Caenorhabditis elegans: one gene and its partner. The protein of the gene in region 1 purifies or fractionates together with the protein of each later gene. This does not show direct contact. Each region holds a gene or a part of one and is shown on either strand. Other genes may lie near its edges.

The links.
Region 2: the proteins of col-119 (region 1) and gfi-3 purify together in Caenorhabditis elegans (affinity purification with mass spectrometry, with the first as the bait; one large-scale study listed by BioGRID). This does not show direct contact.

What each region holds. Positions count from the first base shown.
Region 1 is NC_003282.8:8,978,375-8,981,529, forward strand, and holds col-119 (Nematode cuticle collagen N-terminal domain-containing protein), read right to left. Parts: upstream 1,422-3,155; coding exon 552-1,421; downstream 1-551. Other genes in the region: pdzd-8 (PDZ Domain containing), read left to right, coding at 212-313, 1,987-2,333, 2,505-2,984.
Region 2 is NC_003284.9:14,478,977-14,485,244, reverse strand, and holds gfi-3 (Protein gfi-3), read right to left. Parts: upstream 4,674-6,268; 5' UTR 4,672-4,673; coding exon 4,561-4,671; intron 4,511-4,560; coding exon 4,410-4,510; intron 4,360-4,409; coding exon 4,237-4,359; intron 4,048-4,236; coding exon 3,858-4,047; intron 3,809-3,857; coding exon 3,717-3,808; intron 3,675-3,716; coding exon 3,578-3,674; intron 3,234-3,577; coding exon 3,055-3,233; intron 2,996-3,054; coding exon 2,879-2,995; intron 2,834-2,878; coding exon 2,691-2,833; intron 2,628-2,690; coding exon 2,564-2,627; intron 2,510-2,563; coding exon 2,378-2,509; intron 2,332-2,377; coding exon 2,221-2,331; intron 2,175-2,220; coding exon 2,060-2,174; intron 1,969-2,059; coding exon 1,724-1,968; intron 1,673-1,723; coding exon 1,432-1,672; intron 1,115-1,431; coding exon 773-1,114; 3' UTR 543-772; downstream 1-542. Other genes in the region: M163.11 (ShKT domain-containing protein), read right to left, coding at 4,989-5,085, 5,136-5,303, 5,348-5,734, 5,794-5,867. UniProt on the Caenorhabditis elegans protein: Probable component of the anaphase promoting complex/cyclosome (APC/C), a cell cycle-regulated E3 ubiquitin ligase that controls progression through mitosis and the G1 phase of the cell cycle.

The DNA.
Region 1 (3,155 bases):
GAGCATGAACTTTCTTTTGTTGCTGCAGCACATGGGACATAAAGGGATCACAAGTGCAGATCATGAATTTTGCAGAAACGAGAAAAACGAACGTAGTTATTTATTACTGTAGTACGAAAGGGATACGATAAATAATTAAATTAATTAGAACATCGATTAAGCAAAAATTTCTAAAAACATCAAGATTTATAATAGTTCGTGTACTTTTCAGCCACCGCCCTTGCCGCAAGACGTCGTCACAGTGTGTCAAATTTGGAATCTTCTGTAATCGACACGAACACCGAATCTGTTGCCTCTTCTATTTTCGGATTAGGTATGTTTTTTCTTTTGAACAAACTGTTCCCTCTTTACGTGGAACTCCCATTTTAATCAGTAACCGTCGATCATGTTACGGTATCCGTGAGAAACCGGTTTTCTGATCGTTGAACAGTTAAAAAATGAGATTTTTTCGAACGGAAAATATTTTATTCAAATAAGAACACTTTCAATTCGAGCTTTTGTTATGCATATGAAAAAGGAAAATGGAAAAGATGAGAAAAGAAAACTCGTTTTTAACGACGGGATCCATCCTCGAAGAAGACTCCACCATCGAGAGCACAGTATTTTGGACAGACTCCCTTCTCTCCTGGATGTCCATCGCGTCCTGGCTGTCCTGGACGTCCTGGTTGTCCGTCTCTTCCTGGTTGTCCTGGTTCTCCGTTGGCTCCCTTCTCTCCTGGTCCTCCTTGAGCTCCATCCTTTCCTGGTTGTCCAGCTGGTCCGCGGGATCCTGGTTGTCCTGGACGTCCTGGCTCTCCTGGTGATCCTGGTTGTGGCTCTCCATTGCGTCCATTCTCTCCTGGTGGTCCAGCTGGTCCTGGCTTTCCTCCTGGTCCTGGTGGTCCAGCTGGTCCCTTGTTTCCTGCAGTTCCATTTGGTCCTTCTGGTCCTGGTGGTCCTGGTGGTCCGAGTGGTCCCTTGTTTCCTTGTGGTCCTGGTGGTCCGGCTGGTCCTGGTGGTCCTTCTGGGCATGGCTTGCATGGTGGTGGGGTGATTGGCTCACATGGCTCCTTTGGTGGGCGTCCTGGATTTCCGTTAAGACCTGGTGCTCCTGGCTTTCCTGGTCGTCCAGCACGTCCTGGGGTTCCTGGTGGTCCTTGTGCTCCTGGAAGACAGCATCCCTCGCATTGTCCATTTCCAACTTGACGGGCGGTACGGTTGTGAGCCATCACCATATCTGGGACTCTGTTGACGTCCCCCCAAAGCTTCTTGGCCTCAGCACGGCACTCGACAATATCATGATGCATGGTCTTACGAGCATGATGAATGTAATTGTATACCATTGGAAGAGTAATACAGACCGAAAGAACGGCTACGGTAGAGAATGTAAGAGCGGCATAGCCGACGAAGCGGTAAGCCTTGATCTTGGAATCGATGTCCATGGCGGAATGGAATGATTACCAGTTACTCTGGACACCCTTATATACGGTTGCTACATGAAATTTTGGAATTCCTCTTACTTTCTAACACCTCCAAAAATACCGTAATCTTTACGACATAAGGAAGTCAAAATGTCGAGTAACCGTTTGTCCAGAAAAATAAAAGGGATAGGTATCAAACTCTTCTTCGCTTTTCTCTACGTCGCTTGTTTCCATGCGCAATTTCATTATTACACTGCAACTAGGCAACGTTACAGAAGGAGGGAGTAATTGTGATTGCCAGGTCAGTAAGAACAGCAAAAATTATGGAAAAGTTTGATAAGCAAATATAAAAAAGAAGTTAGATGGTAATTCTCTGTTTCTGGTTTTCGTTTGATACCGGACGGTGATTTTCAAAAATCAAGAAAGTTGATAAAAAGGTTCGTAGAGGTCAGGCGTTAAATGTGGTAAAGTTAGAGTAAGATGTTCGATCGGCAAGACAGAGACAGCATTTGTTGAACAAACCAGAAATCCCGTTCGAATTAAAATAATTTTATATCGATTTTAAGAATATTATATTATTTTTCAGACGCTCACAAATTCGATAAACCTCCATCTGTCTCTGTTCAACGTGCTGAAAGTGCTCGAGTGCCTCAACTTCTGATCAGCCAGCCAAGTTTCGATTTACGAAGAACACAATCGGAAAGTCATCTCGATGCAAAAGTCATTGATGCCGTTTTATCGAGTTCTGCAGATTTTGGAATGGAAAATTCTGTGGAAGACGAGATCAAGATGTTGTTGGTTGGAGATTTGAATAGAAGTGCATCTGCTGGACATAATCTGGATCCACAATTACTTGGAGTTGTTAAAAGAGAGGATAAAGATAAAACATTGACCCAGGCTGATGCTTCAAAAGGATTGGCGTTGATTGCTTCAGTAAGTTTCCCTTTTTTTCAAATTTATCAAAATTCATCATTGCACAACTCGAAATAGTTGTTTTCTGAATATTTCATTCGTATGCCTTTTGTAAGAAGACAGAAAACATTTCAATCAACAATCCAAGCAATAATCTAAATTAGTTTTTGTCTACCAACTTTTCTTTTCCAGCAAACCGGTTCGGTTGCCTCCCTTTCATCAATGATCTCTAATCGTACTGACACTGGAACAGAAGACGGAGGTGATGATGAAGAAGCACATCTTGACAGAAAACGATCTGCGAGCACACGAAAAGCCAAAATACAGGCAACATTTGCTGCTGGAAAGAAGAAAGTTCTCGATTTGATGCCTCAGAAACGAAAGAACACCGATGCTTCAGATCTCAATGGGGAAAGCATCGAAATTGGAGCAGATGCTGGTTCACTTTACGACACAGATACGAACAGAGATCCATCGATTGGAAGATCTCCCATGGCAGTCGTTGGGAAAAGGAAAGAAAGTCCATCAGATGAGAAAAAAGAGAAAAAGAGATTGAAGAAGAAGTTGTCAGAATCTCCGAAGATCAGAAGAGCTGCTGGTTCAGCACAGAAGGATCAGTCTCCAATGACTACAATCAAAGCTAGAACCACAAAGAGTGTTCAATTTCAGAAGGTAAACAATATTATTCAAAAAAATATTCTGATTACTTTTAAAATCTGACACTAATAGTTTCTTTTTTACTGAAGTGGGACTGTAGGGATTACTGTAGTTTAGCATTTTTATATTCATGCATCAATGCTCGAAATTGCTTTTAAAAAATTTCACATTTTTAGAAAGTTAACA
Region 2 (6,268 bases), on another chromosome or scaffold:
GTTTGCATTTGTTATAACGGATATGGAAAGTTAGCAAAATTAATCATTATGTACACATATCCTATTTGAGTTGTCATGAGTAACTGGAGTGATGCTTTCAGTTGGCATTGTTTCACTGCAAATACGGAATTTTCACCCAAAATAGGAATTTTGCGGGGGTGGGGTTTTCAGTAGCCGGTTAATTTTTAATTTTTTTACTAATCTTTAAAAAAACGTTTGATTCAATGAGGTCACGCTTTAAAACAACAAATAAGTTTGGCTAGCAATAAATTTACATGAGAACATGTAAAACATCCAATAACAAAGTAATCCTTTCTATTCTTCGTAATTTCCTATAATTAATCACTTTCGATAATGATTCAATTTAATTTAAAAAAAAATAGACATCTCATTGCTATTAAAAAACTTGCACAACACGTTTTTGCTACAGTTGTAAATGTATTTTAGCTACCAGAAATATGTTTTCTGACATTTGGTAAGAAGCATTCAAACTGCACAAATGGTATCTGCAATAAAATAAAATCAAAAAAATTGCAATAAAACATTCCTTTTCAATTTTTTTTCCAATTTTTCAAAAGCAATTTTTTTACAAAAAGTTCATAAATTCAAAATCAAATAGAGCAAGAAAGACTCGTAAAAATACACTGTGAAGCTCATAAACCTGTTTGAGTTTTGAAACAAGATCGTTGAATGTAAGAACAGACGGGGGTCTTTGGGATTGGATAATGAAGCACTTTAAAAGTGTGTACAAGAATATTGGTTTGAAACATCATCAGATGAGGAGCCATTCGCATCGGCCGGGACAATCAGCAGTCAGTTTACCAAATTGCTCACAAATCTGCGACAGACGATTTTCATCAGGCATCAGTCCTTTGACGTCATGAAGAGCAGCAATTTCGGAGAGGACGAGCTTGGTAAACGCCGGCCATTGCCCGTTGCGGACCAGGGCACGGGATTTTTTCAACCACATCCGCGGATCTTTCCCTAGCAATCGATGACATCTGGCCGCTGTCATGTAGTAGCACGCCTTCTCGGTAAATGATCCAAACTGTTCAATGCCTTCATTGCATTCTTTCAAAAGTTTCAGACATTCGACATACTGACCATGGCACATCTGTAAATTTAGATTCTAAAAATTGTTTTTCATTTGATAAATGCGATGTTCTCAGAAAACGTTTATTTTATCTAACTAGTAAGCGAGTATAGTCTGACATATCTGGTGACATCTATAAAAAATACAATACCTTATGTTTTCAAACATCTCACTTCAAACAATTTTTAAGGCTGAATAAAAAATAATTTTCGGAGTGCAGCGCAAAATTTACGGATTCAAAACCCTAACGACAGTGCTCCACTTTGTAGATTCTTCAGTGAAATATCAAGATGGCGTAAAAAAATTCATGCAATTTTTTCTTTACATAAAATGCTTACCAGCATAGTTGCTTGTCTTCTCTTGACCATTGGCACAATGTCCTTCAGTGTGGTGTTCTCAGCAAGACTCAAGGCGTCTGCAAATTCTCTTGCAGCTTTTCTAAATTCTTGACTAGCCGTGTAAATGCATCCTGTTTGCATGTGAATTCGAATTCTTCCACGAATGTCCACAACGTTCAATCCCTCCAACACTTCAACACTTGCCCGTTCTTTTCCGGCTGCGGCGAGGAGAAGAGCTTGTCTAAAAAAATTATAGAAATTAAATGAGGTAATACTTTCAATTGCAACTCACCGAAGCTTGCATTCTAGTTCAGAGTGTGCTGCGAGATTCAAAACTTCAGAAGCACAAGCCTTGTAGTCATTTTTCAATAAGAATCTTTCAAAGTTGATGACAGCTGCACAAATGACAACGTGACGGTTGGACTGCCAAGAAAGTTCTTCCGGATAATTTTGTCGCATTTCCTCAATAGTTCTTAGTGCCGCGTCGTAGTTTCCGACTCCAGCTTGTGAATAAGATAGGTTTACCGCACCAATTGCCTGAAAATTGATACATCATACTTGAATTTCATTAGATACATATAAATTTTGCACCAATTTATTATTTGTCACAGTTCTAACTTGTACTTACCCAAGGTTCGGCCTGAAAAGGAGCCTGGAAGGGGTCTGTTTCATCGGTTCTGCAATTGTTTGCCAGCATGTTTTCTGCGGCGCACTTTGCTTGATGATACATTCCATTATGAATCCTGAAATTCAGAATGGTTTCTAGGCCATTTGCAACGAGCTACTTACATGTTACTAGATATCAGAGCAGCTCCATAAGCAGCCACTTTTCGTCCTCGTTCTCCAAGATCATTACCGACTGGACACGTTATTCCGGTTTCCGCAACTCTGTCGTAGATCCTGTAAATTTGGAAAGTTAAAGCGACGTCTCTGATTGAATGCTCACAGCTTATAGTTTCCTTCTGCAATGATCTTCATCAACATGAGCATTTTTCCATATGAGTCCATCTCTGCGACAAGCTCAAAATCTTCTTCAGAACTTAGACAGCAAGGCCCGGATCGCGTATGTCCGTGAAGACTGAAATGTACTAATTAGTTTTATGACTCTATACTAGTAGATAATCCAACTTACTCGTCTATGTGCAGCAAGGCTTTTCTCTGAACTCGCCGTTCATTTTCAATGTGCTTAGCGGTTTCTGCAAATTTGATTTGTTGTTGTCTTAGTTCTTATTGATTCAAAAAATAATAGACGAGCTCACTTTCATTGTTATCCTCAAGCAGCGCCCTGCATCCCAATATGTCGACAGTGTGCATTTCGATGTTGGCCATTTGATGGCAAATCTCATCATTTCGGAGCTGGGCTTGTTGGAGACTCTCGTGGAGCAGGAGACGAGCCATTTGGCTGGAAAATGAGAATATTTATGTACTCTTTATTGATATATCTTACTAGTCTCCAAATATTCTGCAAATTCTGGCTTGAAGAATCGGTGCATACATCAACGGGGTTTGAGTTGGAACTGCCAATCGATGCGTTTTTGCGGCATGCACCATGTTCTCATTTAGTCTGAAAATTATTTTTTTTGTTCTTAAACCTCGGTGGCGGTATAACGGTATAACACTTACTCAAACATGGACAACTCGAAAAACGATTTCATTGCCTTAATAGCCGACGAGCTATCTTTCAATTGAACTTGCACAATGGCCTCTAGCAGGAACCCTTCAACAACGTCCGGGTGTCGCTTCTGTACGATCCGGGTGTAGTGAAGCATCTCGTTATATTGGAAGGCAAAACGTGGGTTCTTCTGTAAAAACATGGAAACATTATTACTTTTCTTTTGTCAGTTTCAAACAGAGCTCCCAGCTGAGTGAGGCGCAAAATCCGGGCCTCACGCCGTCGCCGCGCGCCGCTGTGTGTGTGAAATGAAGTTCGAGAGGTAGTCATTCAAAGCGGCCGACACGTTCGGGGTTCCGCAGCTCAGCGTGAAATGAGTAGCATGGTGTGTGCGCAACGTAGTGTGAAAAGGTGGTGGGCTGGAAGCGGCCGACACGTTCGGAGGTCTGCGCTTCACTGTACATGCGGCGAGGGTGACGACGTGAGGCTGGCTCGGCGACCGCATGGGAGTTTTAGTTTCAAATAGTATCTCACCTGAATGAAGTAAATGCTCTTAGCAACCCAATCCCTTGCTCTGACAGAACAGTCGATGAAGTGTGGAAGATACTCTCCCTTGAACTCGGGATGATATCTGCAAAAGTTTCGGTATTTTTAGCAAAGCTTCGTCACTTACTTTGATTCAACAGCAGACAAAACCCATGATTTCATGGCTGCATTTATCTGGAACACTTCTGAAGGAGTTGACTTGGTGTATTGTGCCAGGAGCTGAAATATAATCAAACTGAAACAAATTTTTTCGATTGAAAAATCATACTCGTTTCATCCATCTGTACATAAACGAGTGATTGGAAGAAAACTGGATAATGTCTCCGCGCGCCAAGTCCATAGCTTCATGTACAGTGTCATTTGCTGGCAATTTCGGATCCTTTGGGTGCTTGTTGGTGTAGAACTCATCTTCAACGTTAAGAGTAACATCCGCCATTCCGGCGCCAATTTTCTCCATACTGAAAGAATGGAGAGATGCCAGCGGATTGTTTTGTATTATTGATTATGCTTATAATGCTCCAGAAAATCGAGCTAAGAAACATTATTGCATTTAATTTATTGTCGAATTGTTTGACTAGTTTTTATAATAGTTTACAATAAATTATAATGTTTTTTTAATTGTATAAAATGAAAATCGTTTGACTTACGCTGCATAAAAGTTTTTACAAACTTCACGGCCGTCATCAAATGCAAGTCGAGTGACAATTCTGAAGTCCTTATAAGAAAGCTCCACGACTGACGTCATCAATGCATACAGCCAATGGAAGATTCTAAAACATGAATTTGGTTTCTTTTTTTAAAATTTTTCCAAACTACTTACCGTTCTTTTTCGGCGGGGCTAAATGGTTTGTAGTAAGCACGTTTGTGACGGAATCCAAAGTGTGTTTGAAAAAGAATGCGAAGAAGGTAGAACGTTGCAATCTTAAGTAAATTTTTAGTACTTTGAAGGTTTTCTAAACTAAAAAACTTACTTTTGTTGGAGTCACTGGCTCTCCTGTCAAATTTGAGAAGACATGGCCGAAAATTGCATCCAAGTTGAGATAACTCCGTTTGATGATGGGCCGCGGCGCCGCTTTCTGCATTTCTGGAAAAAAAATATATAAAAACCTTGTTTTTTAAAGGTAATACTAGAAAATAGACGACTAAAATTCAAAAAAATGAAGAGGGATCGGTGCAGGTCGGTGGCTGCAGGCGCATTATTGGTTTGCTGGCGTGTTTCTCGTGGAGGAGGGGCGGGCGGGAGGACACACCATGTAGCAGAGAAAACTCTCTTATTTTGTGCACTCTCTCATCGGTATGGCCCGTTCTCAAACAACACACAACAGATATTATGAAGACATGGTTTTGATATGCATTCAGTTTACTAGAGACAAACTACAATAAAAGAGGAACGATGAAATTAGCATAATCCGCAAGTTTTAGCACAGTAGAGTTCACGTTGAGCATCTGTGTAGAAGCTGTTAGTGCAGAAGCCGTTGGCCGCCCAAGATGAGCATCTGAAAGTTCAACTTGTTTTAGGCTAGTCAGTAGAATTGATTGATCTTACGATGAAGCTGAATCTGTGCAACTAGATGATGTAGAAGCGGTAGAGCTCGACGAAGAAGAGTCACTGGAAGAAGAGCACAGAGAGCAGGTAGCTGCACAGTACTGAGTTTTGATAGCAGTAGTGTAGAAGGAAGAAGTGCAAAATCCATTAGCAGCCCAGGAAGTACATCTAGAAGGTTTTTATTTTGCAAGTGGCAAATAATCAAGTCTTACGTGGAAAAAGAATCTACACATGTGGTAGTGGTTGAGGAAGATGTAGAAGATACGACAGATGTGGAATCTGAGGATGAAGTGGATGATGAAGAATTGGAAGAGGTTGTTGAAGAATCAGAGGATGTAGTAGAAGAACTGTCAGCTGTTGTTGTGTCTGAAGAAGATGTTGAAGACGCGGAGCTGGAAGATGATGAAGAAGATGAAGAAGAATCATCACTGGACGTTGCAGCTGTGGACGAAGAAGAACTTGTAGAAGCAGTGGACGATGAAGAGCTAGAATCTGAAGAATCAGAGCACAAAGAGCAGGTTGATGCGCAGTATTGGGTTTTCTGAGCGGTAGTGTAGAATGTAGAGGTGCAAAACCCATTGGCAACCCAGTTCGCGCAGCTGGAAGAAAAAAAAATGAAATTTCAAATTTCAAACTGAATAAATAATCTGTAACTTACTTTGAAGCCGAGTCGGAGCACATTTCAGCGCTTGAAACAAAGAAAACAATTGTTAAAACGAAGAAGGTGTTCATGGTAGTGAGAGTTGAAAGTTGAATGTTCTGTGGGCCCTCACTGGCTAACTTTTATCCGATCTGTTTCCTGTTTGAACAACTGTCACAACGTTTTGACCCCTAATAAGCATTGGCACCTAGAGGAGGAACTATTAATGAATACATAGGTCTATAACAAGTTGCGCTCGATCATATGAATCATAAAGTTGCTGATCTTAAAAAGACAAATGAATTTTTATTTCTGAACTATGTTTTAATGAAATCAGCCAATAATAATTATTATTACAGTTAAAATTTTAATCGGTGAAAACTATTTCATTTTCCCATTGATATTACACCAGCAAACCTGCGTCTGCAAATGATGAAGGTCAAACGCCACATGCTACGTTTTCTTGATAACGATATCATTTTTCACTATTTAT